Xenopus tropicalis: one gene and its partners. The protein of the gene in region 3 purifies or fractionates together with the protein of the main gene of each other region. This does not show direct contact. Links are inferred from orthologs where the notes say so. Each region holds a gene or a part of one and is shown on either strand. Other genes may lie near its edges. The genes, in order: cep78, atmin, ubr5 and dyrk2.

What was found.
Region 1: the proteins of ubr5 (region 3) and cep78 purify together in Homo sapiens (affinity purification with western blotting; 3 studies listed by BioGRID, with this or other methods). This does not show direct contact. The link is inferred for Xenopus tropicalis from reciprocal best matches to the Homo sapiens genes UBR5 and CEP78.
Region 2: the proteins of ubr5 (region 3) and atmin purify together in Homo sapiens (affinity purification with western blotting; 3 studies listed by BioGRID). This does not show direct contact. The link is inferred for Xenopus tropicalis from reciprocal best matches to the Homo sapiens genes UBR5 and ATMIN.
Region 4: the proteins of ubr5 (region 3) and dyrk2 purify together in Homo sapiens (affinity purification with western blotting; 3 studies listed by BioGRID and IntAct, with this or other methods). This does not show direct contact. The link is inferred for Xenopus tropicalis from reciprocal best matches to the Homo sapiens genes UBR5 and DYRK2.

Annotation. Positions count from the first base shown.
Region 1 is NC_030677.2:132,558,436-132,566,035, reverse strand, and holds part of cep78 (centrosomal protein of 78 kDa), read right to left. Parts: coding exon 7,553-7,600; intron 7,232-7,552; coding exon 7,056-7,231; intron 6,368-7,055; coding exon 6,295-6,367; intron 5,285-6,294; coding exon 5,181-5,284; intron 3,685-5,180; coding exon 3,510-3,684; intron 1,330-3,509; coding exon 1,216-1,329; intron 499-1,215; coding exon 434-498; intron 1-433. UniProt on the Homo sapiens protein: Centriole wall protein that localizes to mature centrioles and regulates centriole and cilia biogenesis. Involved in centrosome duplication: required for efficient PLK4 centrosomal localization and PLK4-induced overduplication of centrioles.
Region 2 is NC_030680.2:52,814,309-52,821,908, forward strand, and holds part of atmin (ATM interactor), read right to left. Parts: intron 4,403-7,600; coding exon 4,277-4,402; intron 3,319-4,276; coding exon 3,119-3,318; intron 3,009-3,118; coding exon 1,247-3,008; 3' UTR 1-1,246. UniProt on the Homo sapiens protein: Transcription factor. Plays a crucial role in cell survival and RAD51 foci formation in response to methylating DNA damage. Involved in regulating the activity of ATM in the absence of DNA damage. May play a role in stabilizing ATM.
Region 3 is NC_030682.2:131,339,106-131,346,705, forward strand, and holds part of ubr5 (E3 ubiquitin-protein ligase UBR5), read right to left. Parts: intron 7,039-7,600; coding exon 6,919-7,038; intron 6,133-6,918; coding exon 5,943-6,132; intron 4,998-5,942; coding exon 4,838-4,997; intron 4,414-4,837; coding exon 4,264-4,413; intron 3,519-4,263; coding exon 3,307-3,518; intron 3,024-3,306; coding exon 2,907-3,023; intron 2,777-2,906; coding exon 2,666-2,776; intron 2,413-2,665; coding exon 2,258-2,412; intron 1,429-2,257; coding exon 1,311-1,428; intron 920-1,310; coding exon 735-919; intron 541-734; coding exon 431-540; intron 1-430. UniProt on the Homo sapiens protein: E3 ubiquitin-protein ligase involved in different protein quality control pathways in the cytoplasm and nucleus. Mainly acts as a ubiquitin chain elongator that extends pre-ubiquitinated substrates.
Region 4 is NC_030679.2:58,474,997-58,482,061, forward strand, and holds part of dyrk2 (dual specificity tyrosine-phosphorylation-regulated kinase 2), read left to right. Parts: intron 1-2,107; coding exon 2,108-3,709; 3' UTR 3,710-7,065. UniProt on the Homo sapiens protein: Serine/threonine-protein kinase involved in the regulation of the mitotic cell cycle, cell proliferation, apoptosis, organization of the cytoskeleton and neurite outgrowth. Functions in part via its role in ubiquitin-dependent proteasomal protein degradation.

The DNA of each region.
Region 1 (7,600 bases), on a different chromosome or scaffold from region 3:
TTTCATGCACCTTTTCTACATAAGCCCAACTGAATGAGTTTTTTGACTGAATGTCAAAAAAGGAGGCAATATCTCATTGATGTAAGCAAGAGCTTTAATTGACCAGAGCTTGTAAAGGTTTTGCTTCAATATTATCTAGTTAAGTTGGAGTTTTAAAGCAGATTAAACAAAACATTTTTGCTACATGCATGACACCGAAGTTTTTGTTTTCTACAATTAAAGACCTTTACATGTGTGGGTGCAAAAGTGGTGAAGCCATTTTATGAGAACCTACTATTCAAATATCCTGCCTTTACAAAGAAACAGACATATACTAGTGCCAAAGGTTTTCCAGTAACATAATAGTTCATTATGCATACTTAATACAAAAAAATTATTGTGATCAAAGATTTTGCAACCAAATGAAATAATTACAGTAATTGGTAAGGCATACCTCTGAATTGGTATCATGTGCATTCATTAACACTCTCTCAATAATGGTCTTCAGTAAGGAACGGTCTAAAGAAACAGAACAAAGAATAACAAGCATTAAAAACATCAGTTAGATTATATTCTGCATATGTGATGCTAATCATAACACCATCTGTTTAATGTGTCTTGTAATGGGATCCTCAGCATCTGTAGACAGCAATATCTGGGGCCCATAGAAGTATGTTCAACAGGAAAAATACCCCCTTTCTGACATAAGCTTATTAGTTGGGCTTATGTTAAAAAAAAAAGTGCATAAACATGATCTAAACTACCAAAAATATATAGATTTTGATTTTGATAAACAAAACACAATTGGCTCATCTACAAGCTCCCAATCTTCTGATACAGGCAAAGCTAATCAATAAAAAGCAGTATATCCACTTTTGCACAAAAAAAAAAACAACCTTTTTTGTTGTGTGCAGATAGGTAACCATAACCCCCATGTGATGACTATTAAAGGAGTGCAACAAATGAAACAACTGTTTAACGTCTGGTGTGCTCCTTTCTGGTGTCCTGTATGTCTGGTAACTTCTGCATATACATTTGTATATGTATTTGGTCCGATGTTGATCAAGCAGGTTTAAAAATCACACTGGGCAAGGAAAGCATCAGTTTGTTGATCACCCACCTCAAGGTCATCACCAAATGAGCATATCCTTTAGAATATGACCACCTTTATTCTAAGCTTACACTGAATTATAAATACAATTTTTAAACATACAGCATATCTTTAATCATTGGTACCTATTAGCGGGTTTCTTCTGATGTCCAGTATTATCAGTGTTGTATTTGTTTGAAATGCGTTAAGAAATGCTTGTGCACCTTCATTGGAAATACCACACTGGCGCAAATCTAGTGCTGTAGTGAAAAAGAAACAAACAAAAAAAAAACATCTAGTGTAAGGCTTACACTTTATGGAAAATGTAGCTTGCCAACAATGCAATATATGTAACAGGTTACAATAAACAGTATATGAGGGCCTAAGCAAGAATTCATATGTATAATTAGGGCTTTAAAGGACATGTCAACTTTAAAAGAAAACATAATTGTAAGCAACTATCAAATATGAATTTATTAAAGGAGAAGGAAAGGCTAATAAAGAGTTAATCTCAAGATGCAGGCATACATTCAGTTCTCTCAACAGTGCCCTTAAATCTCCATTTCTCCAGTTCAGATGATCAGAAGCCTCCTGCACCAACACCAAGGTGTACATGCGCAGTTTATAAGACTATGAGGAAGCTTCCTGCTGATTGGCTCAGACCACACATTCCTAAGGGGGGTGGGAGTTCTTAGCATTCTTGAGGGTGGAGGGAGCAGGAGAGGGTAGAGAGGAGAGAGCTGACTGTCCCTGGAAAACTAAGAGACAACAAATCCTCTTTCTTATGACTGTATTTACATAGACCTTTCTGATAAAGCTTACTTAGTTTTTACCTTTCCTTCTCCTTTAAAAATGTTTAGTGCTTTAAAAGTTATTTGTAAAAGTATTTGCTATTGAAAGCAGCATTTGCTTAACTTCTGGGTATGACTTTTTAAATAATGTTGCAAAAGCCAGAATCCTCCAGTAAGACAGGTCTGTCGGTCTACTGGCTTGTGTTAAATTGTTTTTAAAAATCAGAGCCACAAACCTATCATTATCTCTATAATACCCCTGTCAGATGCCCATGGTGTGGTAACCTTGGAGCATGATTTGATGTCCCCATATCCACTTCTGGTCCCAAATAATTGACTTTCTAGCAAACAATCTAGATTTCCCTAGACTATTAACACCCATCACTTTTAAAAGTCCTGGAAGCTGCAATATTGTCGCGACTTTTCCGTATTGAGCGCTCGTAAACAGCGGGCAAACCTTTCAGACTTTGCATGATTTTGGAAGCCTCCCATAGGACTCAATGGCACTCTGCAGCTCCAACCTGGCCCAAGGAAAGTCACGATACTGAAGCTTGAATGAATCTTCGTACTCGGCGCAACGGCTACGAAAAAGTCGCGACAATTCGCACAAGTCGTAATGCTACGAAAAAGTCGCGACAATTTACGAAAAAGTCGTAACGGCTACGACAATTTATGAAAAAATCGCAAAATACCGATCATTATGAAAAAAACGCATTCGGAAGCTTTTCGGACGTTCGTGGATTAGTAAATGTGCCCCTATGAGTCAGCTTCCTGCTCATTGGCTCTGATCCACATTCCTAAGGGGGGAGTGAGTTCTCAGCATTCTTGAGGGAGGGGGGAGCAGCAGAGAGGAGAGAGCTGAAAGCTGTGTGTTACTGGCAGAGGAAAACAGACACAACTAATCTTTTTACAGAGAAGTCAGTGCAGCATTTCTGTGAGTGCTTATAGCAGCATTTACACAGACCTTTCTGATAAAGCTTACTTAGTTTTTAACTTTCTTTCTCCTTTAATGAGTCTGGGAACCCTAGTGTAATACATTTTCAGAGGCACTTCAATAAATGGACACCTGAAAATTATTTCTTCACACCCCGACTTTATAAATCTTTAAGGACAAGGGTACTCCCAGCCTCTGAACCTCCAAAAGATCCCCTGAAATGATGGAGGTGACTCAGTTGTTGTTAAATGTGTAAATCTGGCTCCTCTATACAGTGTCTCTGATAACTAACTGCCAACTAGGAAATGTCACTCTGTAAACTTTGTGTTGTTTCTAAAATAGAACTTACCTTTAAAACCAAGGCAAAGAATGGGAAAAGGACAAACCCTGTAACATTATATACAAATAATGTAAAAACCATTACATATTTGTAATTAATGTATATTGCAAAGTTGCTTAGAATTATAATAAAATAGCTTAGAATTATGTTTTGGTTTTTTTTTTTATAAGGGAAGTTTAATTTTTTTGGACATGTCCTTTGCTGCCCCCTAGAAGTGCACATGAATAATAGAAAAAAAAAATCTGACCAAGCAGGGTGCCGATATTAGAGAGTGTTTAGATTGACTGTGACTAAAGCATTACAGTACACTATAATAGTAATAATATACATGCTCCTACTACATATTTTGAAACTGCATTTGAAAATTATGTATACCTTTTAACCAGAGGTCCTCGCCTATCACTTCTGCCAAGGCAATGGCTCCACGGTCACCCACAAGGGTATTGCTGTTAAGAGTGACACGCCTTAAACCAGCCATGCAGTCAAGATCAGGCCTTCTGTATCTCAGGCTTTCAGCCCAGGCTTCACTGTGCCTTCTGGTAGCCTGATGCTATGAAGATACAATTACACATTCACCTGTCATTTTCTGCATGACATCTTTGATGTAAAATAGCAGCACATGAACTTGTAACATGATTAAATTATATCCACAGTAAGTTTTGCAAAACATTCTTTCCTGGTGTTGGGATGCTGTTCTTTCCCTGGCTATCAAAAAAACTCGATAAGCAAATTAAGAAAATATAAAAATTCCTTCAGCTTGCCAAAATTTACTTGAGTAGGTCAAGAATAGCACAAATAAATTGGTACGAAAGTAAAAAACAAAACAAAAAAAAAAAGTACAATAAGAGGAGTGATGCCAGCATTATAAAAAACAGCAATAGGCCCAAGAGCATTACTCGTTTCCCACTTGTTGTATGTTATATAGCAGACTCTGCATTATAGAAAATATACAATTTTATGACATAAATTAACTTAGTTTTCCCCCTTTTTGTCTTCCCAGTATCACTTAGGTCACCAGTATCAACTCTCTCAATCAGTGTCTTATAGGCCTATACTTAGGGAACCCAAATTAAGTTATGTACTTTTCTTTGCAGCCCAAAATTGTTTTGCTAGCATTTTAATTGCTTTCTACAGTAGAAGAAATTTCACATGATTAAAAGGGGTCAAGGAGACCTACCATAAACAGAATATAGACTCATTTTTAATTCTTTACCCATAGGTTAAGAATGCCTGCTCTAAGCTGTTAAAAGTTGATAAATTAGTTGCAGGTATTTTCAGTAGCAGCAGCAGCACCTTTAGCCCCTACCAAGCATGCTCCTTGGTTTGATGCTTAACAAGTAAGAGTTGCAATGGAGAACATTTTTCTTTAGGCATCAATGATAGCTTATTTGTCTGACCACAGGAGTATATTTTGAGTACTATTCAAACAATGTAAAATGATTTAGTATCAAAAGTGGTATAAAATAAAGAGGTGCATGCTCTTTTATGCCCCCCAATTGCTGTATTATATTACTACTTCAGACTTTGTGTAATCCATTAAGAGAGAACTAAAGTCTTAGAAAAATGGTAATATTTTTGGAGGGCCCTCCCCCATACAAACCACACCAATTTTCCCCCTAAAATCTACTCAGTTTTCCCTACCTGTTGAGAACAAGCAGAACAGTGCAATGGGGCTGAATTGCACCACATCTGTGTCTGCAATCACTTATGAGAAAAGATTCAGCAGTGTAAGAAAATATCCTTTAACCCCACTATGCTACTTTGCTTCCTTTCATAAGATAAGGAAATTAGGGCAGATTTGTGGGGACAAACTGATGTGGTTTTGGTGGGGGAAGGGAGAGCTTTCAAAAATACTATTCAGGCTTTAGTTCTCATGTACAGAGCATGATAAATAGGCCCCTTTGGAAGGCCTCCTGCATTAATTCCACCTGCAATTAAATCTCACATGAAATATCATGCATCAGTACTACTCATTCTCAGCTATTAAACCAGACCAGTACTTTCCAGAGTATCACAGGCCATATAAATGCACTGCAGACCATTTACCTTGATGATACTTGCTATGTGTTCTGCTCCTCGCCATGTCAGATTGCACCCTGTGAAATTTACTGTCTTGATTGTAGGTGAATTCTTTACACTTTGACAAATAACTGAAAACGCAAAAAAACCTTTGTTTCACTGTTTCACATAGAGTCAATTTTAATATTTAAATGCTTTAATATACTTAGGGTATAAAAGATCCAAATTATATAAAAAAAAACCAATATTGAAAACCCCAGGTCCCAAGCATTCTAGACATTGGTTCCAATACCAGATTGAAACACAGAAAATGTTAAAAGGCAAGAATATACAAAAATGCCCTTAAAAAACAAAATCATGTGCTTTTAGCAAAAATTTCCTGTTTTTGGCACAGTATCTGGCTTTATGGCTTATTCTTTATAGGAATATAAAAAGATGCTGGGTGCTTCTATAAGAAGCAGTGAAAATATCAGTTGCATGCATCATGAATTCCTCTTGTCTGCTCATTAAGTCATATCCTGCAGCTTGTGGAGACCACTGTAAAAGGCTTTACACATTCAGAAATACAGTTAATTTATCCTGTTGAGATTTCCATGGAAACGGAGGAAACAGAGAAAAGGAAATACACAAAATAAAGCATCAGCGGGAACAGTTCTACCAAACAAAAACTAATTGAGAAAGAAATGATGTGAGTAGATGCTGATCACCTATAGAAGAGATATTTTATCTGACACTTTATACACAAAGAATTATAATAATTCCACAAGGGGCTACATTTATGTCTCTTTTTAGTAACATTACCAGCATACAACCCCCACCCTTTACCCTTTGTTGAGATTGTTTTGTTAGCAGGAGTCCATTATGTAGGGGGGACTATCTGTGCACTGGAAATCAAATTTGCAAGAACCAAAAATGACATAAGCAAGAAGTATATTTAGCACAAGATGTTTTCATTGAACTCATGTTAAACAAGAGGGTATACTGACCCTTTAAAAGGGTGTCATTTTTATATAAGAGCATGGGTTAATGTGCTTTTTGCAGATTCAAGTGAAACCCCAATGGCAAAAAGTAAAACTTCAGCGATGAAAAATTATTTCATTCTCATAAATACATACAATAACCAACTTGAAGGAAAACTTACTTTCCAGTCCTTCATCTCCACAGGAGCAATATGCCAAAGACAGGCTTTCCACAGATGAGGATGCAGCCAAACCCTTAAAAAAATGCATACGGTCAGCATAGAATTCCAAGGCCTGGCCTGAGGACAAACTCCATTGATATATGATAATCTCCACTGACATCATCATCATCCTTGTGCATTAACATTTGCAAATATGTTGTTTTTATGTATATAATTAGCTAAATATGTAATTTGGCAGGGGTGCCCAAACTTTTCCACTCAGCTATAAGTATAATGTTTTTGATTTATATTTTTATTTGGGTTTTATTATGTAGTCGTAGGATTTGTGTGAAAAAAATTTTTTAGGGCATATTTATGCAGAAGAATTAAAAATACAAAGAGTTCACAGAATTTCAAGCACCACTGTAAACGTATCTCTATGCAAAAATGTGAATCTGATAGAATCTGAAGATGATATAATATATCATAGAGATACTACAAATTTACAGTTATAAATCTGTAGTAATATGCCAAATCAAATGGACTTGCTGTGTTTTCTTCAAGATGGATGACTGGCTTTCATAATTCATTGCTAAAGGTCTTGCTCTACTAAACAAATCAAGAAGCTAGCTTTAATACATTAATAAGCATGCAAATATGTAGAAAAGAAGGCTTCTAAAACAATGTGCCATGTTCTCATATACAATAATTATTATAATATCTCAATAACCCCCTCATTCATCCTACATCATTAGTAACACAATCACATATTTACTCCTTACCTTTGCTAAAATTCTTAAATCTCTCTCTCGTAGAGGCAGTCCATGGAGCTCTAACTCTTTTAAAGAGCCTGATACACTCAAGCAGCTTGTAATTGCTTTGCATACTTGAAAAGTCATGTCCTTTGATCGGATGGGGGGGATGCGCCTTTTGAAATATATTCCATACTTCTCAGCACCTGACATATCAAAATGCACTGTTAAAAAGTCACTTGTCCTTAAATAACATCCATATCATCTAAGTCTACTCCTATGTATATAGACTAGGAATACTAAATAATCAGCAGGGGTATTGTGCATTTCACTGTACAAAATATTTACTAGACAGGGCCATACTCATAGAGAAGATAAATGAAATAAATTTTGCTTCCACCACAGTATAGCAAATTTTTTGTGCATGTGTTTTTTCACAATGGTGAAAGTAAAACAATAAGCCTGACACATTAAAATACATAAATTTTAGTCACTTATAAATACCTCTCATAGTTATTATTACATACCAAATTCCCCAAGTCCAGGCTGGTGACAACTTTTTATTGACACATTTA
Region 2 (7,600 bases), on a different chromosome or scaffold from region 3:
AAGCACACATACTTGGTTGACCAGTTATTCTGACAGCATAAATAAATTACATAAGAAAACAAAAATAAAGTGCTTTTCTTTATAGGTGTGCCTATCATATACAAATAGTCCAAACCTCTACACGTGGCATATAGATATACATGCTGTTTAGATCTGGTTTTTTTTTTAACAACCAATAAGACATTCTCTGTGATACAGCACAATTGTTTAGTGCAAGAAGGGCATGTAACACCAAGACATGAAAGTATTTTATTTGCGGTTAAAGGTGATATATATTTGCCCAGCACAAAGTATTTCATGGCAGAAATGGCCTTACCATAAATGGTGGTAGAGATCCATAAATGATCTTTAACCCTGATATCTCCATTTAAAAAGGGTAGTTTACCTTTATATTAACATTTAGCATGGGGTAGACTGATATTATCAGAATATTTTGGGATTTTTAAACTACTATTCTTTTTGTTCAGCAACTCTCCAGTATGGAATTTCAGCAGCTATTTGGATTCTAGGGTGCAATTTACTCTAACAACCAGACAATGGTTTGAACGTGAGACTGGGAATTTATTAGGGAAGTGCCCGGTTAGAAAGAAATATAATAAAGTAACAAAATTGTAGCCTCCCAGGGCAGGTTTTTGCCTGCAGGAGTCAGAGTCCATCTTCTGAAAGATGGAAAGTGACTAAGAGAAAGGCAAATAATTTAACAACTATATGATATTCTATAACATACAAAAAGTTAACCTAATGGTAAACTACCCTTTAAAACATTGCAACCTATGTAGTATATCTGTTATTCGCTATGCAAATATGGGCTCTAGCCATCTAGAACCCAAATAGCAGCCCCATAGCTGCATAATAGCTTATATAATCACCTATATTAGAAAACACATTTTTTAGACGTGTAGTCAAAAAATACAAATGTAATTATATACAAATAAAACATTCATTTTTTGTGTCACTGGCTTTTTAACAGGAATCTTCACACATGGCTCTAACGTTTAACTACACCTCTCAGCATGCAGGTAGCTGAAAATCCTTGTATGGTTGATGGAAACATACCATAATTTCTAATACACAACAGATATTTTTTGTTTCTCAGCTAACAGTAAGCCATGCAAGTTTCTTCACAGTGAGAGGGGTCAGAAAATGACAGACTGCTATCGCTTCAGCCAGGAAAAGGGCATAAATATATTGGGCTGAAGAACACTCATACACAGTTATGAGCATTAATAAGTGTTGGGAGTGCTAATCAGTTATGGGATTTATCAGATGAAAACAAAGAGAAAAGCTCCTTACAAGTCTGTGTTTCAACAGAACTAAACTGAGAATCAATTGTATTCCATGCCAGGTCTGCAAGAAGGAAGTCATCCATTGCAGTCTGGGTCTCATTGCTTGTGAGAAATAAATGGCCTAGTGTTTCAAAGCAGCTGTCAGTTGTTTGAGTTTCAGCACTGTTTTGCTGTACTTGACATTCCATGCTGTGAGATTCGTTAGTTTTGCTCTCAGAAGATAAATTTGCATGGCTGTCTGCATCGGATGAGTCTGTGCTCATTGAAAAGCTAGACTGTCTCAATATGCTACCTAATGGCAAGTGAGAGCTGCTGTCTAGAAAGAAATTTAGGTCAGTCTGTGTCTGAGTATCAAACATCTCCATACCTAGAATGCTAGAGTTGGTTTTGTTAGAGTACAACTGGGCAGAGTCCTCAGAAAACAGGAAGTCTGTTTGGGTTTCAATATCTAGATATTCTGAGGCGAGATTCCCCAACTCGCACTCTTCAGTTTGTGTCTGAATATTGGAGGCTGAAAAAAACTCATCTATGTCAAAATCAATGCCTGGGTTTTGCGTACAATTAGATGACAAATTTGCTTCCCCTCCTGAACTTTCTACTGATAACAGACTGCGATTATCTAACGGCTGGCCGGACATATTATCAGATAATATTTTTTCAAGGTCACTAAGGAGTTCCATGGTTTGTGTTTGGTTATCAGTCATGTTTTGATTAGGGAATGCCCCATTCTGATTGTTGAAGCCTATAGTCTCTTCTCTTATTTGCTGAACATCATTTGTATTCAATAAACTTTGGTCCAAAGCTCCAGGCAAAAACCTACTTTCTGCCTTACTTGTTTGGGTTGACACAGTGTAAAAAGAGTGGCCGCCAGTAAATATATTTTCACACATAACAGCTTGGTCCACCTGTAAAGTCGCCCCTCTCGATAGTTCGGTGTTTGTTTGTGTCTCACGAGAAATCCCACCAGAGAAACAAGGACTGATGGACATGCCAGCCTTAGTGCTGTAGGGCAACTCAGAATTTGATTGTAGTGTTTGGGTCTCAACGCTGATTGGAAGTGAGATCTGTGCATTAAATGATAAGTCTGTTTGGGAACAAGATGAGACACAAGAGTCAGAAGTCCAAGGAGGGTCTGGTAATAAAGACTGTGTAAAGTACGATATGTCAGTCTGAACATCTGATGTGATCCGGTTCTTTTGGGAGATATTGCCCATATCTGACATGATGTTACTAGACACCGGTTTATCTAGGTTGACTTGCACAAAAGAGTTTACCGGTCCAACTGTATTAGAATCTGTATTTCTAGACAATACAATACCAGCAGGTAAAGCAGTGTTTGTATCCAGGTTTGAGACAATTGATCCATTGTAATTAGACAATATTTGCACAGAAGTTGCAACAGAATCTTTAACTGCAACAAGCACTGGTTTGACTGAACAAGCAGATGAAGGGACCAAAACAGGTAGATGGGTAAACTGCATTACTGGGAGCTTGAGTAAAGCCAACTTTGGAAGCAGCAATTTTTGAGTTTGTTTCGGCTGTGAGGGGTTGCTTTCTGTCAAGCAGGAACTGCTGAGGCTTTCAACAGTGCATAGTTTTAAATCTGCCATTTGATCATCTTGTGAAGCCAAAGGGAGATCACTTTCAGGAAGTCTTGCCTCATTCATGGTTTCAAGACTTCTCATAGCAGCTTCAATCTTCTTTTTCTTTACAGGGGGCTCTCTGGGAAGAAAATTAAAATCACACATATAAATGAAGCAAAAAATGTATGATGAACACGGTACATGACAGGAGACAATGGCAGTATAATCAATGTTATTTACATATTTCACCTGTGTTCAACTGGAATCTCATGGCCAGTTCTATTAATGTGGGACAGGAGAGCAGTTCTGCTGGCATAAGGACAGCCACAGGTGCAATGAAAGGTCTTTCCACAATAACCAAGATGGCGTTTCAGGTCCCACTCAGTGCCGTAGCTGCTCCCACACTGGATACATTTGTGCTTCTTTTCTGCATGCATTTTCATGAAGTGCTGAAAGCAAATACATTCAGTACAAATAAAATACTGTTATTGCTCTGACACTAAGGAGAATAAACAGTAATCTGGAAAAGCACAAAAAAAATAATGATACTCTTCACTGTGACCATTTAAAAGGGATAATATCTGCTAATTCACCATGCTTCTATGTTAGGCAGGAATGGTACAATGAGGAGAAAATGTAGAGAGCAAATATAAAAAGAGGAGAATGGAAAACTAAGGGTGGCCATACATGGGCAGATTTCAGCTGCTGATTTGGGTCCTTAAAACATGCATAGAAGTATTGTATGAAATCACTGGCTTTTTTTAAAATTTTATTTTAATGTGCATTTTTCAGTTATATTTTGAAGCAACACCAAAACACAGAAATAGAGCATGCATTTGGGAAAAAACAATGAGATGCAGCTGTGAACTCTTGTAGCTATGACTAGTCAGAATCACAGCAGAATAGAATAGAAACATTTTGCTCATCCACTTAGATGCGCTCAAAAATTAGCCCATAAAAATGCTTGCCGGTATGTGCTCTAATCCAATGCACACAATTAGCACTCCAAAGCACTTGACCATGCCCGATTTCTAATTGCTGATGCAGGAAGACCCAGATATGAAGCAAGTGGCATACACCAAAATGTCTACTATGCTGTGACCCCTTAAGATATAGGCCCTCGAGCCAGTCCTTCTTTAACTTTAATTTTTGTTCCTTCGCCACAGATGGTTCTGTCAGATTAAGCATTCGGTGTAGTGACCCCTTTTTGTTGCTGAGGACAGCCACAATACATATGCTACTCGAGGGGAGGTTTGAAGTATGATTTAAGGAATATGTTTTTGGGAGATTTGCGACTGGAATACTGAAAATTAGAAACTAGAGTACTGAAAAGGAGAAGGATGATATAGAATAGGATGGGGGGGTGTCATATAAAAGTAATAACTAAATTTAGGACAGTTGGCATACCTGTTTAACACGGGAAAACTGAGAAAAAGGCCTGTTTGTTCCTCTTGGGCAGCCTTCTATTGGACAACAATATAATTTCTGTGAAGCTTTTAAATCTTTCCTTAATGTGGGATTCAGCACTCCATCCTGAGAAATAATAAACATACATTATATACATTAAAACATGAAATGCAATATCAGATGTTATCTGAAACATTGACCTGGTCCAAGTGTAGGGCTGATATTTTCGGCAAGCGGAAAAACGCTTGGCAAAAATTCAGCACTACGCCTGCTACTTGTGCCTGCATCAGAATGAATGGAATATGCTCGGGTGCCGGCACATGTAGCCGATATACGCATGAAAACGCGAGTCTTTGCATTCTCACGCGTTTTCATGCGTATATCGGCTACAGTGCCTGCACCTGAGCGTATCTCATTCATTCGGGTGCAGGCACAAGTAGCAGGCGTAGGGCTGAATTTTTGCCAAGCGTTTTTCCGCTTGCTGAAAATATCAGCCCTACACCTCGTGTGGCATCAGCCTTAAGAGCTGTGAGAGCATTAAGGGAAAACAAAAATACTGTTAACATGTACTACTGTTAAAACCTTACAGTTTTTCTTAAGAGCACAATTCATTGTGCCTTTACAGCTTGGCAAGGCTATTCTTTCGGAGGAAATCTGAGTGCTAGCTGTCAGGCTATCCCTTTACAATGGTTACCTTATCTGTGCAGCAATAATCAACCAATCAATCACACAACACCTGAGATCACTACCATTATAATAAGGTAACATTATAGTTAGAGCTGCCAATAAGACAGAGAATGGAAATCAGATTATGCAGCAGAAAATGCACGCTGCAACAAAATATATAAACATTAACTTATAAAAAAGTAAATAGTCAATTTTTGTAGATTTGGTTAAAAAAAAAAAAATATATATATATATATATATATACATATGTAAAGCGCAACAGGATGTTTCTTAGGACTCTTAGAAGGATTACGCCTTGGTGCTTTGAGGATTAGCTATCGCCTAACTTATTTAGTTACAGAGAGCTAGAATTTCATGTCTTAAAAGTATTAAAGGATGCACTGAATGATTTTTTGATGACAGAACCAACTTCCAAACCATGATTACAGCAGAATTGTGCGCGCCATTCATAGAATTTGATTATTAAACTATATAATGAGTTTATTTGGAACTCTTCAATATTTTATATAAATGTTATATGAAAGATCTATGTCTATAGAATTGATGGGCAAAAATAGTGCATAACCAGGGTGAGCAACTGTGAGGGCTGTCACTGGTTAGATGAGCAGGCCTGTCACATAGCTAAACAGATGGCAGATTGAAGCTCATTAGCTTTAAAACCCCTAGGTATAAATTTGCAAACATTATAGAATGCTGCACATAGGTCAGATAGGTGAGTTTATTACAAAGAGATTAATCAAACACACCAGAGGGCCAGTGTAGGCGGGTTCTGAAATTCTGTCAACAAGAAGAATTTGCTGACCTCCACCATAATAAAAGGACAGTCCCTAAGTTGCGAGTTGTTGCGTTCTGTCTGGAAATTAATGTTATGTAGAAATCTAAAAAAGTAGATCTGCAGCCCCTCTTCACTTGCTGTTTCACTGACAGTTCAGGCCATCAGCCTGAATAAAAAAAAACAATGGAAGTTGGCCATACATGTGTATGATCACCCTGCTCTGAACACGCTGACCTGACAGATACAGTAAAATATTGACCACCTAACAGCCATCTTGAAAGATCTATTTTAAATACTGTAAGCTTATACAACCAGGACCCCCTTCACCTCTTGCATCGATTATTGGTTGTTTTTGTATGTAAATCTGTATGCAAAGTTATTTTACAGCACTGCTGAATATGTTGGCGAACAATGACAAGAACAGAAATAAATCTATGGAGGGAAACACTCAGAGCCAGGACCCAATTGGAATGCCTGTTCTAGGCAGGATGGGGATATTTAAAAAAAAAAAAAAAAATACACAAAACCAAAAAGCTAGTAAAGCTATACCACCATACAATGACCCTTTAATACAGGGGTTGTCAAACTTCTCAGTCCTCAGACTGTTGGGGGTCGTCAAACTGTGGCCCACTCTTGCAATTTTTTCCAGAATTCAAACCCCCCCCCCCCCCGCACGCTCCGTCTATCCATCCAAACTCCCACGCTCATTCGTCTGTCCACCCTTCTGTCTCCCTCGCTCCGTTCGTCCGTCCGTCCACCCACCGAGTTCTACCTCTTCCAGTTCCCCCTGGTTTGCTGTCTGCTCCCTTACGTCCTCCCTCTCAGCTCCCCTGTCCCACTCACCGCTGAGTCCTCTCTCTCTGCTGCCAGAGGTGAGGACGCATCAGGGGGCTGGGTAAATTCACCACGGGCCGTAGTTTGAGGACCCCTGCTTTAATACAATTTGTAGAATAACATACCCTCTGGGTTGTCAGCTCAAACCAGTTGGGGTTATGTAAAAATGGTGCATAAAAACTATATGAACTTCCATAAATAAATATTTCAATTATCTATAGAAGATAAAACAGAAAAGATATAGTGCTAACCTACTGAAAATTATGTAATGCTGGGTAATTGATACAAATGGACAGATCTCCCTGTTAGGCCCAGTGTCTAATAGGCAAATAACTAGCTAATTTGGTAATGTACATGGTGAGCCAATGAGACCAATACAGGTCAATATTTAATTATTTTAGCCCTGAATTAGATCTTACGAACTTTTGAGGTTCAAGCTCCTCTTAGTGGTCCATTTTTTGTACAGGGCGCCTTTACTTATTAAAACGTTAAAGGTTTATATAATTCTTAAAATAGTATATTGCAGATTCAACAGCATTCTCCACAAACCAGTAAACTGCCAGCTAACACGACATTAGATTTTTTCTGTTCAGCTTGTTTAATCTCCCCTTCACTTGACCTTTCATAGAAAGAAAAGGTTTCACTTGAACAAATAAAGAACTGTTCTTGCTACTCTATTACGGCTTTGCAGTTTTAGCTTGAAGGAACTTTGAATTGCTACTTATTAATGGCTGCTGTGCCACTGATTAAAAAAAAAAAACAAAATTCGATTTAGGATGCTTTTCCTAGAGATTTTGGCCCTCTTGAGGTATATTGCTGAATATCTACTACAAATACATTCTTTAACATTTTCCAGGGAAACAAATGATAACACACTGTATAAAGAAATAAGTAAAAGATAAGAAAGAGGAATGGGAGGGGAAGAGCCTGGAGGACAATAGTGTAATCTGAAGATCTGCAAATACATTCTACACAGGTTCCTACCTTGTCAATTGGAGTATGGGAAATGCTTTTCAATTAGATGCTAG
Region 3 (7,600 bases):
CAGACCTACATTGTTTGGGGGTAAAGTTTTCCTTTAACTACTGTTTTGGCTGCCACCTTCCTTGGGGCTTCTAAATACCATTACACAGCTACTGCCGATCTGAAACTGGTCTGTGCTGTAATATTTACTGGTCACGTACAGCTTAAGCTGTCTGTGCTGGAGGGGGTGCATACATATGCAGCACCAATTAGAGACAATAAAGAATCCTGTGCCACTGGGGCAGAAAGATTGTGGCATGATTCAGTACCAAAAGCAGAATTTACAAGCTCCAGGGAAGGTAACAGTCAAGTAAAGTAGGCAATTGGGGTCAAGGGGGTTTGTTACACATAATGAATACTTTGGCTTTCCTTGCCTATGTATAGCAAAGCAAACCACACACACTAAACTTTCTAAAATGTCACAGAGAAGGCTGTACATAAAGACTACTCACTGTATGGCATTGAGGCACTGCTAGCAATTGAAGACGCATCACTACAGGTAGATGCAGGAGATGGTGGAGGACCCATCTCGGTTTTTACAGGCTCCTGTTTACTTTCAGGTCTTATAGAAGGCAAACAAAAATAATAGTTAAACAATCCCCACCACTTCAGCAGTGAGAACCAACAGGGCAGAGATCAGAAAAAAAAATGTTATTTAATGCAGATTGCGGAGATTAAGGAGAGACACACAAATATACAAACTGAATGAAGTGAAATGAAGTACTTATTCTTTGCAAATAAAAACATTGGACTTACTTGGCTTCAGTTGTTTTGTTTGTTTTTTCCAAGTTCTTTAGACTCTCTGGAGAACGGAGCTGGAACCTGCAGCTATCATTCATATTCCACACCGATTCCATTAATACTCCTACTTTGGGAATCCCAGCACTGATTGAGAAAGCAACTGCTCCCGCATGGTAGAGAGGGTTATTTCTTAAGCATACCTGCAAGAAAGATGTAAATTGTTAATTATAACCTTTAGGATTACACACCTTTTTATGTTTACATAAAATTAACACCATTTACATAAAATTAAATGAAAACTATTATTCTGATGCAATCTACACTGGTTTCTATGCTGTCCGGCAATGTGCCTCTGAATTACTAACCATACTTGCACTTGCATTGTGTGCTATATATGCATACTGTATATATTTTGAGTTGGTCCCTAAGCTCATCTGACTGACCGGAGCATTGATCATGTGGCTGGAATCAGAAAAGAATTGGAGGCTACTTAAGGCACCTTTGTAGCCACAGATCTGAAGGGCTGTGGTGGCCTTGGGCTGGTTTAAAACTGCTCTAACAAGATATGAAAGCCCACTAGAGTTTCCTCACCTGGGTCCCAACTGTGATATTTGGCATGGATGAAATTCCGGCACTGGATTTGGGTTTTTTATTCTTTGCACGTGCTTTTTCTAGCATTTTCTTCCTCTGGCTGAAAGGAACAACGCCCCTGAAAATAAAAATTTGACTTGTTAATTTCTTATTCAGGCACGCATTGTGAATCAGCATATAACAAGTTAAAATTCAAATAAATTAGGGAAAATAAAAAACACATTGCTCCCTGAAGTCTAATGCAGTAAAGCAGCAATACACGCACCGACCCTCCCTCCCAACCCGTGCTCTACCCAGCAAGCTGTCCTTCCTATACCTGTGGTACCCGGTCCCAGCTGACTTTACTGAAGAGGTGGGAGAAGTTTCAAGTATATAAATGGTAGCCAGACACAAAAAGATTGGGTGTTCACAGATATCCCATGGGAGCCTATGATTAAGTGCTGGTTAAGCATGAAACGCATTAAGGTGGCAGTTCCATGACATGTTCAGATTTTAGTCTTCTTCCGACGAATGTTCGGATATCAATCGTACGTTTAAATGTAACAATATAAAACTAACATTCAGACTGAAATTGTAGGATAACACCCTTAAAATAACAAATCGGAGAATGTTCTGAACATAATAGTTCTGAAATAGTTGGCAAACACCAATCATATGAAAGTGATGTCCTGGAAATGCATTAAGGTCCCCCAAGGATATCGTCAGATACACAACACATTTGCAGATTTTATCTTCGTCTGACCGAAATTTTCTAACCTGGCCTATCGGCTAAACGAGCAATTGGCATTGTATGAAAATTATCAGGACGATAATTGGGAGGCCACACACAGTCTGAAAATCATACAAAGCTATTGGTGCGTGTATGGCCAGCTTTAGGATATTGTTTATACAAAATTAAAATTCCCTGTTCCTGCTTTTTTATTTTGAATCAAGCAAATTATACTCACCACCAATAAAGGTTATTTTCTAACTGCGCACAGGTATAAAGCGCACAACAGTGCAATGAAACAATCTTGTCTCCTTGTAGCTCTGGGAAAATCTGGGCTGTGTGCTCTAACTTTGAGGCTACAGAACTTAATGTTTCATCAACCCAAGTAGCAACCTTAAAAGAGAAAATGGAATAAGCACTCATTACAATTAAAGGACACTTTTATATCACACAGAACTGTGCAAGAACTTAAACTGAACATTAAAAAATACATAAATAACAGAAACAATATGTATGGCCCCCAGCTGGAGCAGAAGCAATTGCCAAGTAAAACAAAGCTGGGCCCTAGTGAGACAGAAACTGGAGGACACAATAAGCAGACAAAAACAAATAAGCGTCAAAGAAAAGCCAAGAACACTGTTCAAACCTTGTTGCTTTCTGTAGCGACTGTGGCTCGGATACTATTTGCTGACAACAGGACTATTTTCTCATTTGTTAGGCCTAAAAAGGATGCTCTTGGATGATGTAATGACAGATTCTGGAAGTAAAATAAAACTCTTTAATTCCATTTGTGATATATAAATTCATAGTGCATGATGAATTCGATAAAATGTTACAAGTAGCATAATAGGGAATACAGTTAATAGCATATAGAGAAATCTAAATACCTGTGTATTCCTATAAGGCTCTGACTCCATCCACTTCCACTGATAAAGTTCTCCCTTACTGCTCACAGCAACCAGCTCAGAATAAAGTGCTCCAATAGAAATAAACTTTGTACCGTCCTACAGAGACAGCATATGCAAAAAAAGCAGTTTTAACTATACTTTATATTGACTTACTGAAAGAGCAGTGGACTTGTTATTGGTTTTATAAACGTCCACTGAATATGAATATTCCCCCCCCCCCCCGCCTCCCTAAGGAAAATCAAGCAATTCAAAGTGCTTTAGTGACTCCAGAAGCTGTATATAAAATAAAGGTATACAGAAGTATTTACAAAAAAAGTGAAAGTGCTCTGTGAACTCTGATTGTGATATAAACCTTTATTGGGACTAGTTATAAAGATACCTTTTCAGGCCACCACTGCAGGTCTTCTCCCAGTGACACTGGACTCTGTATGGGAGTGTTCTTCTTATCGAGTGCAGGCTCCCCTTCTTTGCTTGTGGAGCCTCTTTCGTTATCGAACGAGGCCCCATCAAGCCACCTCCGCTCACGCAAACGCAACACTGACTCACGTTCACGCAACAGTTCAGAGTCTCTCTCTAAGGGAAGAAGGAGAACTGGTATGCAATTGGGTCACACCAGTGGGATAAAAGTAAGCCAATCTCTATTTGAGACCCTTCTTATCTAGCAGCAAATAAAGCCTATAAATTAAAGTGCCAGTAACATCAAAAATTGAAAATGTGTTATGTACATATAAATCTAATTCTATGCCCGGCCTGCACTTTTAAAAATAATTTCCCTTTGATGCCAAAAACTAGGCACCTAAAAATAAATTTGTTCAAAAAGCTGTGTTACCTTAAATGTAATTCAGCACTGTGCATCCAGACACAGTAATGAACAACAATGTGAAAATAATACATACAAATATTACAAATGATATATATCAATCCTCTTCATTGTTTGGTGTTACTGGCTCTTTAAATTGTATTCTTTCCTTTAAATTTAAAAAACTTAGAATAGGGTCTAAATTTAAATTTAGAATTGGCGAAGGGCTACTGGTAGCTATGTTACGGCCCTCTCATTCTTAAGGCCATAGGCAGGAATCTGACAGACTCCCCCTATTTTACACTTAAAAGCAGTGGATAATTTGCTTCCCCAACAGAAAGCTTGATGCCACCAACCATTACATAAATGCAAATCTAGCTATCTAGTATTCATAGTTAAAAAAAAAAAAAAAGGAAATATTTACCTTGATTGGTTTCCACTGCTGCATTATGTGTAACCTACACAAACTGTACTAATAAAGGCATCACAGGGACAATTACAGGTATACAGGATGGGGAAGCAAAGGTTCAGAATTACCTCTGGATGAGCCTATCCTGGAAAGTGAAGAGCGCCGAAAAGATGGATAACCAAAGTAGCTAATATCTTCTGAAAACATAGCATCAGCATCAATTATGACACTTGGGTGAGCAGAATGAATGTCAGCATCCAGCAGTGACATAAGATCTTCTACAAACACAAGGATCATAAGCAGTAATTAAAGTAAAAACATTACACCATTATTTCTCCTAGGATTAAATTCTAAAATCTGTCATCTACGTACATAAGGGCGCTGCAAGACAGATTACCCAGAGCATATTTCCACCCATGCGATTTTCAGCTTGGCAGGACGCACTGTAAACTTACAGGCCAGAATGAAGTGAATGGAAAAGCAATTTGGAGAGTTCCGCTCTCCACCTACCAAGCTGGAAATCATGCAGGCTGCAAAATGCTGATTCTCTTCATTTCCAATGCCCTTAGAAGAATCGAAAGAATTTTGAGCTTCTTTTAGATTTCAGTCTTGAAACACAACGGGTTCCAGTAACATAATGACCAGCATGCTTACCATGGATTGTTAGAAATTGGATAATCTAAATGGCTAAACTGAACTTACCTCCTGGCAAGTAAGATTCACTAGCAGTGTCATCACCATCATCCCCATCTTCATCATCTCGACTCAAGAGATTGTTAACTGCGAGGTTTACATCAAGATTTGTTCTCTGTAGCTCTCGAATAATAACACTTCGCGATTTTCCTTGAAGAACAACTTGTGCCTGCACGACACAGAGAGTGGCTTGAGCAGTTACGCATATATTGCCAAACAGGGGTATAAACACAGGTCACCAGTACAACCAATAAACGACAAACTCACTGAATACAAATAAAAGCTGCTGTCAAAATCTAAACTACATGAGATACTTTGGTTATATGACTTCTGTCTGGAAATTTCACCATGCAACTTAAGATTTTATGGGACGGACAAAGTCTCATCCTCTAGTACAGTGATCTCCAACCAGGCTGCCTGAAAATTCTGCACAGACCTTGAATCCAATCATCCAATCAGCCCCGATGTACTCACCATGTCAGTGGCAAAATCAAACAAAGAACTTCCTGCACTCAGAAAAATCCTTCAGGGCACGGCGCGAGTCTGCTCAGCTTGCTCCTCTCTCACCCTACTTTCTCCTCCCTGTTCCAGCTCAACTCTCACCCCCTCCCATCTAAACTTAGAGCTGTTTCAGGAGCAGTGTGCAGGCAGGGAAGTGTTTTCAGACCAAGCTAAAACAGCAGCTGCTATCTTAAACAGAGGGAGATTCTATGACTGTTTACTCAGGTATGGTAAAGCATTCTGCAGTATAAATTTAGCGTTCTAGGTGGCACTATTGTGACTAATCTATTAGCTATAAAATGCCAAAATACCTTTCCTTCTCCTTTAAATGAGTCTCCGGTGCTTGTAACCAAATATATGGGTGTCAAACTACTAAGAGAAGACTATTATGCGGCGCTGACAGTAAACCATTTAATTGTGAAAAGAAGCGTGGGCTCACTATATTTAATGCTATTTCTGTACATTCATCAAGCTGAGCTTTAGTCTTACGATATTATTCTGAATCGATCACATTAAACAGCAAATATCTGAGAACATACATACATACATACATGTATATTGTAGGTTTAAATAAAAGTTTGAATTTACTTAGAAATATAAAAGAGGACTATACCTGCGAGATGAGTTCCTCAGGAATAACAGAAGCTGGAATCACAGGTTGTGGCTGACTGCCCAGGAGACCAGAGCCTCTATCCCTTCCTGTGCGGATAACTCTTGTTTGCCTCCGAGAGTCTCTAGCACCAGCTGATGACCGGCCAGAGGATCCCCCACCACTTCCACCAACCCCAGAACTCCATCTGCTCCTGAAGAAATGAAAAAAGGAAAAACAAAGCAAAGTTTTGGGTTAAAGGTATTAAATGTACAAACTTGAATAAGAAAAACCTAATACTCATTCTTTTCACATGCATATCATATTCTGTGATCTTAAGTTAAGCCAATTATATTTTTAATCAACCGTTCTTATCTCCCGATTCATCTACTTTATTTTCTCCCCCCAAAGAGTGTTTATGTAAAACTTAAAAAAAAAAAAAAAAAAAAAAAGACTGTGGAGTCTTTTCAAGGCTGTTGGTTTAATTTAAGACTATGCTGTGCGGCCTGTGGGGCAGATGTGCCCTGCCAAAGGATTTTATGGCCTCCAGACTGCCTAATGACTATGTGGAAAACAGACTACAGCTTTATATCTACACAGTTGCCATGAAATACATTTCTAAAGCAAACATGAAATGTGGCAAACTTTGGTGTTTGATGACAACATGAGAGGAGTGCATTTTCCATATGAAGAGGAAAACTTAGTTTCAGTCTATATGGACACATTAGTTGCAATTTATTCACAAGACAGTTAATACGGTGTGTCAGTAACACAGCAATCGGGAAAAGAAGACCAAGAGTTATGTTGTGTAACCCTTGATCTCCCAAAGCTAAATGAGCGACAGGAAGGAGCCTGCCGTATACGGACAATATGGCAATCACAGAAACTGATATTCTATGGAAAGAAATCCGGAAAGCATGTATATCAGATGGATGGCCATTGTGTAGTACAACGTCTGTTAATATATAAACAGCATAAGCCTTAACCCTATTAAACTTACCCAAGGGTGTTGCCTGCCAGTCTGCCCAGAGTTTCAGAACCAGACAGAAACCAAGGGGAGTCACTAGTCCTGCCTGGCCTGGATGTCCTTCCTGCCCCTGAGCCACTGCTCAACTTTGAACTGGAAACAAAAAATGGCACATCAGTCAAAAAAGGAGAAAATAGAAATGGGAAAAGCAATAACATCTGGGCTGAAATGTAAAGCCTGTGAGCCCAAGTCTAGATTTATGGTGTTAGACTGGCAAAATACAAGCCTAAGCAACACCCTTGGGAGATTAATGCTTTGTCCAACACTTCTATTTTGCACTGTAATTTCAACCCAACCCCAGTGTACTTCTCAAGTATCTGTCCTTACAGCTAGGCCTATTACTCTGGGCAGTGCTGCAAGCTGTGGGTTTATGGAATGAATTAGTGACAAAATGCCACAGTATAAAGATAACTATAGTCTAAGCTGTAAAGCATGACTGAACAGCTGCTCTTTGAAAGAATGGAAGCCACATACGAAAGGAAAATACACAGAACTTCCAGAACAAAAGCAACATTTTCAGGGCAAAGTCACACATAGCATTTTGTTGCCCAAAGTGTCCAAAAATAAGCATGGTGATCATGGCTTCTTAAACACTTTACATGTACCTCTAATAAAGGTATACTATAAATAATTATAAAGGTATCTCAGTAATTGC
Region 4 (7,065 bases), on a different chromosome or scaffold from region 3:
TACTTTTCTGATATTTTCTTGGAGAATGGAAGAAAGCTCCGTTTTAAAATGTGCAATGTTTTGATTTTTATTAGATTAAGCCACACCCATGCTTATGGGAAATTGAAAGCACAATTATATAATAATAAGCATATGATTTCAAATCATGGGGGTTTTAGTAGTGTGTTTGTTTCTGGTTATTAAACATCTTTCTGAATTATATTTAATACTTATATGCAGGTAGCACTCTCCTGTATATGCAATTGGTTTCATAGCTTTCCAGAACTGCTCAAGTGATGCTTTTTTTATTTTAAGAAATGTATAATTTAGTTAAATGTATTAGATGCAGAATATCAGATTATACTCAGGGCATGGAGTGACTGTTTCATTTGTCATCTCATTTTACTATCATAACGCAGATGTATATATAATATTAATGACATCAAATGTTATGGAGCTTACAGTTTTCATTTAACAGTGTTTTTGTAATGCCTGTCCTTTTAAAAGGACAGAGGTTCTGTCAAGTTTTTACTCCTTTGCAATCGGTATTCATAGAAACAGATCATTTCAATATGAGTAGAGCAGCTGCCATATTAGTGGAGCAGTTGCTCCCTGACAGCTGCTCTGCTTTGAAATATATTTTAGAACGGCATTTAGAGGAACAGGCTTTTGCAGCTACATTTTGTGCATGTATAGGAGTTACAGAGTTTTTTGGTTTATGGCATGTATTGCATGTATGGTACTCCAATTTGTTTTCCCCCTTAGGTTACTGACACAGAGCAATCTGAAAACATTAACTTTTTGTAGCTTTGTGGGCAGGGGATAATGCTACAAATTGTCCCTCCGTTAGCTTTAAATTGAATTTAGCTGGGGCAGTTTTGTGCATGTAATTACCACTTGACATTTTGGAGCAATAATCGCATAACACTGCACCGGATGCTTTAAACTAATTCATTGCTATTGAAGGGCATCTTTGGAGTGTTCCCCCTGCCTCTGGAGCTACAACAAAGTATAATAAACCATGCATAGTGCAGGATATTTTGAGTATGTCAGCTACTTGAAAACAGTGGTGATAACCAGTAAATGAGGCTTAGATTACAGTTCCGTGGCAGCCTTGCCAAACAAGCAGATTTAGGCCAGCTCTTTTGAATTCAACCAACAATTTGTACACAGCTATGTAGAAACATTACAGATCATTTTTCTGTTAATTCTCATCTTTAAATATGTATGGTATTGATGCAAGGATCTAGAATTGTGTCAGTGTGGGGTGTTGCAGTCTCTGGGGGAATGTAGGACATTTACTCAAATATTGTAAAAACACGTAGGAAATCCATTGAAAATCACCGTACTGGTTAAATTTAGAAACTGTATAATTTGAGGAATATATCCGTTTAGTTTTCTCTAAATAGTAATGCATGCAAGGGTATTGCTTACTGCTGAATGCACTGAGCATCCCAAGTTAACTGCAAGTGTTGGTTATAACCTATATTTCATTACATTTCACTACATTTCATTTATAGTGTGTTCCTCCTTCCGTGTGCTATATATTAAAATAAGTGTGTTCAGCTTCTCTTGTGCTAACTTGCAGTGTGTTGCAGAATATGCTGGTGTTGTGTAAATGCATGTTAATAATAACACTAATAATAATTTATAATAATATTAATATGTTGTAACTGAGACCCTTATAGATTACTTCAGTAATGGGAACATAGCCTCTTGTCTCTGGGGATGTTATTGCTCCAGCTTGTCAGACCTACTGATGTGGTCTCGGTATTCCACATCTGTTAAGTAAACAGAAGGGCTGGTGGATGCTGATAAGACAGTCATGGCTGCTGTGTGACTCACTTATAGTGATGAGCTTATGAACATATGTAACAGTCTGGGTCCTTCATATTAACAATTTAGTTTATACTTTGAATTTGGAAAAATATCCTCTGCTATCTCTCTGTCAGATCGGTGCATGGTGTAGTGTCAAGTATTCGTTAACTTTCCTGGTTATTAAAGCTTATTTTAGTTCTGTGTTTTGTTTTTTTTGTGCTATGTAATAGATGGTATTAGCGTATAGGAATCATCCAATTTAGAATGAAACTTCTGCAATATAGCTAATTTACAATTTGTTTCCTTTCAGACTGGAGGCAATAAGCACACAATGAATGAACATCTACATGTGACCAGCCATGGACAAATCCAGGTGCAACAACTGTTTGAAGAGAACAGCAACAAAAGAACTGTCCTGACAACACAACCAAATGGGCTTACAACTGTTGGCAAATCTACTTTACCTGTAGTTTCAGAGAGGCAGCTTGAAAGTACTCATAGAAGACAAGGAAGCTCTAGCTCTTTAAAATCAGCAGAGGGCATAACCAAGTTGAAGTCTTCTTCATTAACTCCTGAACAAGCAATGAAGCAATACATGCAGAAGTTGACTGCTTTTGAGCACCATGAAATCTTTAATTACCCTGAAATTTATTTTTTGGGTCCAAATGCTAAAAAACGACAAGGTGTAATTGGCGGCCCAAACAATGGTGGCTATGATGATGATCAGGGCTCATATGTACAAGTGCCGCACGATCATGTTGCCTACAGGTATGAAGTTCTGAAGGTTATTGGAAAAGGAAGTTTTGGGCAAGTTGTGAAAGCTTATGACCACAAACTTCATCAGCATGTGGCACTAAAAATGGTAAGGAATGAAAAGCGTTTTCATCGGCAGGCTGCAGAGGAAATCAGAATTCTAGAACACCTGAAAAAACAAGATAAAGATAACAATATGAATGTCATTCACATGCTGGAGAACTTCACATTCCGCAATCATATATGTATGACATTTGAATTATTGAGTATGAATCTCTATGAACTGATCAAGAAGAATAAATTTCAGGGCTTTAGCTTGCCTTTAGTTCGCAAGTTTGCTCACTCAATCTTGCAGTGCTTGGATGCTTTGCACAAAAACAGAATAATCCACTGTGACCTTAAACCTGAAAACATTCTGTTGAAACAACAGGGCAGAAGTGGCATTAAAGTTATTGATTTTGGTTCTAGTTGTTATGAGCACCAGCGTGTGTATACATACATACAATCACGTTTCTACCGGGCACCAGAAGTTATTCTTGGTGGTCGCTATGGGATGCCTATTGATATGTGGAGCTTGGGTTGTATTCTTGCGGAACTGTTGACTGGCTATCCACTTTTACCCGGAGAAGATGAAGGTGATCAGCTGGCATGTATGATTGAGTTACTGGGTATGCCTTCTCAAAAGCTTCTAGATGCTTCAAAAAGGGGTAAAAATTTTTTTAGCTCCAAAGGTTACCCACGCTATTGCACTGTTACAAGTCTGCCTGATGGTTCCGTGGTATTAAATGGTGGTCGTTCACGAAGAGGTAAACTAAGAGGCCCCCCTGGAAGTAGAGACTGGGTAACTGCTTTAAAGGGCTGCGATGATCCTCTGTTTCTTGATTTCCTGACACAATGTTTAGAATGGGATCCTTCTCTCCGGATGACACCTAGCCAAGCACTGCGCCATCATTGGTTAAGGAGGCGGTTGCCCAAGCCTCCAACTGGGGAAAAGATCTCCACTAAAAGAATAACAGAAAGCACTGGTGCTATAACATCTATTTCTAAGTTACCTCCAACATCAGGCTCAGCTGCAAAGTTAAGAACTAATCTGACCCAGATAACGGATGCCAATGGAAATATTCAGCAAAGGACAGTCTTGCCAAAGTTGGTTAGCTGATTTAATGGACATCTTACATTGAAAACACCTTGCTGAGCCTTATGCATACAAAGCAGCAACTCGGATTTGTACCATTTTTAATTGCTCAGATTATTTTAAATACATTGTTTGTGCAACAAGTGTATTTTTATGTAATCATGAAATTGTCAAACAACGGGGACAATGCTTTAAGGTTTTATACCTTTTTGTGATTTGTAATTGGCCTTGCTTTAACATAGGAAGTGTCAAATTCAGTGGCTGGCCACTGATTACTACTTGACTGTTAAAACTTATTTATTAATGTCAAAAGTGTTAGTTATAATTCATTCATATTCAACAGGATTATGCTCTGGGTGCCATAGGCAATTTAGAGCATTGAAAACATGTTTAATACACACTCACACAGTATAGATGTGTAGATCGGTGCATTTTGGCTTCTGTTAAATGGGCCTTGCACAAAGCTGGCACAATAGTATATACAGTAACATTTGTTTGCATTTGGAGCAATTACATGAAACTGATTTGTGAAAGGTACTGCCTTTATACTTCAAATTGAGCAGTTGAATCACTTCATTTAATAAAGGTAGCTTAATACCTTTTTTCTTATTTTTGACATAGCCAAAGGATTTCATTTTACCTTAATAAATATACCTTTAGATATATTCTATATGTAGGTGATTAAAAAAACGTTTTCTCAACATGAAAAGGGCATTGACGATAAGCAAATTTTTAAACTATTGCTTTGTGTTGATTGCTATGGGTTTTTTTTGGGGGGGGGGGGATATCTAATGGTTTTATGCAACGTGAAGTCAATTTAGTATTTTTAATGTAAGAATAGCGGAAGGCATTGGTATTACTGAAGGATCAGTAGGATGTTCATATTTATAAAGGAAAAAAGAAGTGTTGCAACCTTGTGCTGTGAAACAGCTTTGTGTATTGGGATTCAATTAAAAGCTGTAGTTTGACTGTTATCCCCTTTCCCTTTAGCCTACAGATTGCTTAGCTGTGAGATTTTGTTCTTAATCCCTTGCAGTTTGTAAGCCACACTTTTAAAGGAGCAGTTCAACCAAACAATGTTAGATATCAATAGAAGTACTTTAAATGTGCATTAGTAATCTTTGTATACTTGCCATGAAAGGTGTTCTTTCCTCTCTTCATTTATCTCCACTACATTGTTAATTACAGTAGCTCAAAGCTTTAAGCTAAAAAGTTGTTTAGATAAGTTTGAGCTATGAATGGCATTTTAAGTACTTTTATACATATTTGACATTTTATTTTTTGTGAAATGTCCAAAAATGTAGGTTTAATTGGAAAGTGTGGGTATAATTGTGGTTACATTAAATTTGCAGCTCTGCTTTTTAATTTTTATGTTACTTAAAGCATGGTCCCCAAACAATGGCTAAAATGTTTCTGGCTACATTTTTAAATTTAAGTGCAAGTCGAATAGCAAAGAGATAATAATGGATATAACTATTTACTTCAAGTTTCAATTTGGATTCAGACCACACTTGTAATCCAGCAGCAGGTCAGGCCCTTCTTAATGTACATTAGGGTTAAACAGGAAATCATTATTGTAGTAATCATCATCCTGTATAATTGCAAGGGTATCCAGGACAGTATATAAGCACGTACCGCAACTTTCACCCTACCTGCCTCTCTTCATTTACTGCTTTTTCCATCCCACTGGATGCCATTCAAGCAGCTCAAGGATCTCCTAGATCCTCATGTTGCAGTTTTGTTATGGCAGTCGTATTTTCTCATTCTTTGGTGGGAGATTCAAAAGCAACAGTACCTCAATATTTTAAAACAAAAATCATCTTTTATGTTCTCACCACTGAAAACAGATTGCACTATTTTGATATCTGATTCTGTACCAGAAACTTTTAGACAAGGGGCAACTCACAAGCACTACCAACATTGTCGGTTGCTGAGCGGGAACCCCCTTTTGATACATATTTGGATTTGTTTTCTTGGTATTTGAGTAAGGCGGTGTATAAAGTCAAATTATAAGAAACGGACATTACTTGTCCTTACTTTCCCATGAATGTCCATTCTGCCATTTTCGAAGGTAAGTGCTTATAGAATGCTGGCTGAAGCTAACTTTGTTTTTACCTTAAGGGCTTCAGTGGTTGATCTGTAATAAGTTGTCTTGGAAACAGTACTTTGTCTCACAGGTTACCATTGTCTAGGGAAGTCTTACCTATTTGCAGCATTTGGGATAGCACAGTATGATGCTGTATCCTTGGTTGCAGTCTCGCATGGCACATTCCATGCACATATTGAGACATTTTTGTCACACAAGTGTTTTGCTATATGAGTTCAACACTTTGAAACAAGAAGTGTTTATATAAACACTACAGGATACTTTGTGAACTTAGTGTGAATTATGTGCCTTTTTGTTATTAGTGCTACATTGTCAGGCATATTTTGGCCTACTTTACTCTATAAAGTATAGCAGGTAAAGGCATCTATAATACAGTTTTACTCTAATATGTCTTAAAATATTCATCATGCTAAGAGGCCTTAAAAGTAACCATAGCTCTAGCAGGTTGTTTAAGGCTGGCCAATTATGCTGCTAGAAAATGCTTCCTTAGACTGTGAGGTCCTGAAAGACCTGTTGGTTACCTGTTATACTTTTTATCATTTCTTTTTTTTTTCAGGGTTTTGATTATGCTTATACTAGTGAACAATCTTAAAAATGTGTTTGTAAAATTTACCTCAAACTGTTTTTCATTTTTATGGTGTGATCAATCCCAGGGCATTTGGTAAGAACCAAAGTGCATTCCTTTTATATTTGCTGGTTGGAATAAACCAGCCAGTGATTTTTATAATTTAGGTGCAACGCACATAAGCCACTTTTAATGTATAGTTCGGGTATACATCTCTTGGACATTGGGTTGTATTGGAATCTCAAAGAAGAATCTAAACTGTTAATTATACAGTATATAAAAAAAGCCCTTGATTCTTTCACTTCTTCCGAGATTCCCCCACATCCCAATTTTATGCAGCTTGCATAAAAAGACACATTGAATTCTTTCTTGTTGGCACTTTTACAGCTCTGCAAAACATTTTGGTTCTGAAAGGTAATTTTTAACTGCTCACAAAACCTCTACAGTTGTCTAGGCCATGACAATTTCTATTGAGCACCATCTTAGACATGTGACTGTAATATGCTGCAATTGTGTGTACTGATGATATGTGAACATTTGGAGTGAATGTGGACTTTGTGTATAATTTGTGTACATTTTCTGTAAGATGCTGCTGGCGCCACTCTACATTCCCTATAATGTAGTGGAATAGAATCAAAGTGGCGAAATTTATAATACTGTATGTATTGTACAGCAGATGATGGAAATATGACATTTTAGTGAACATTT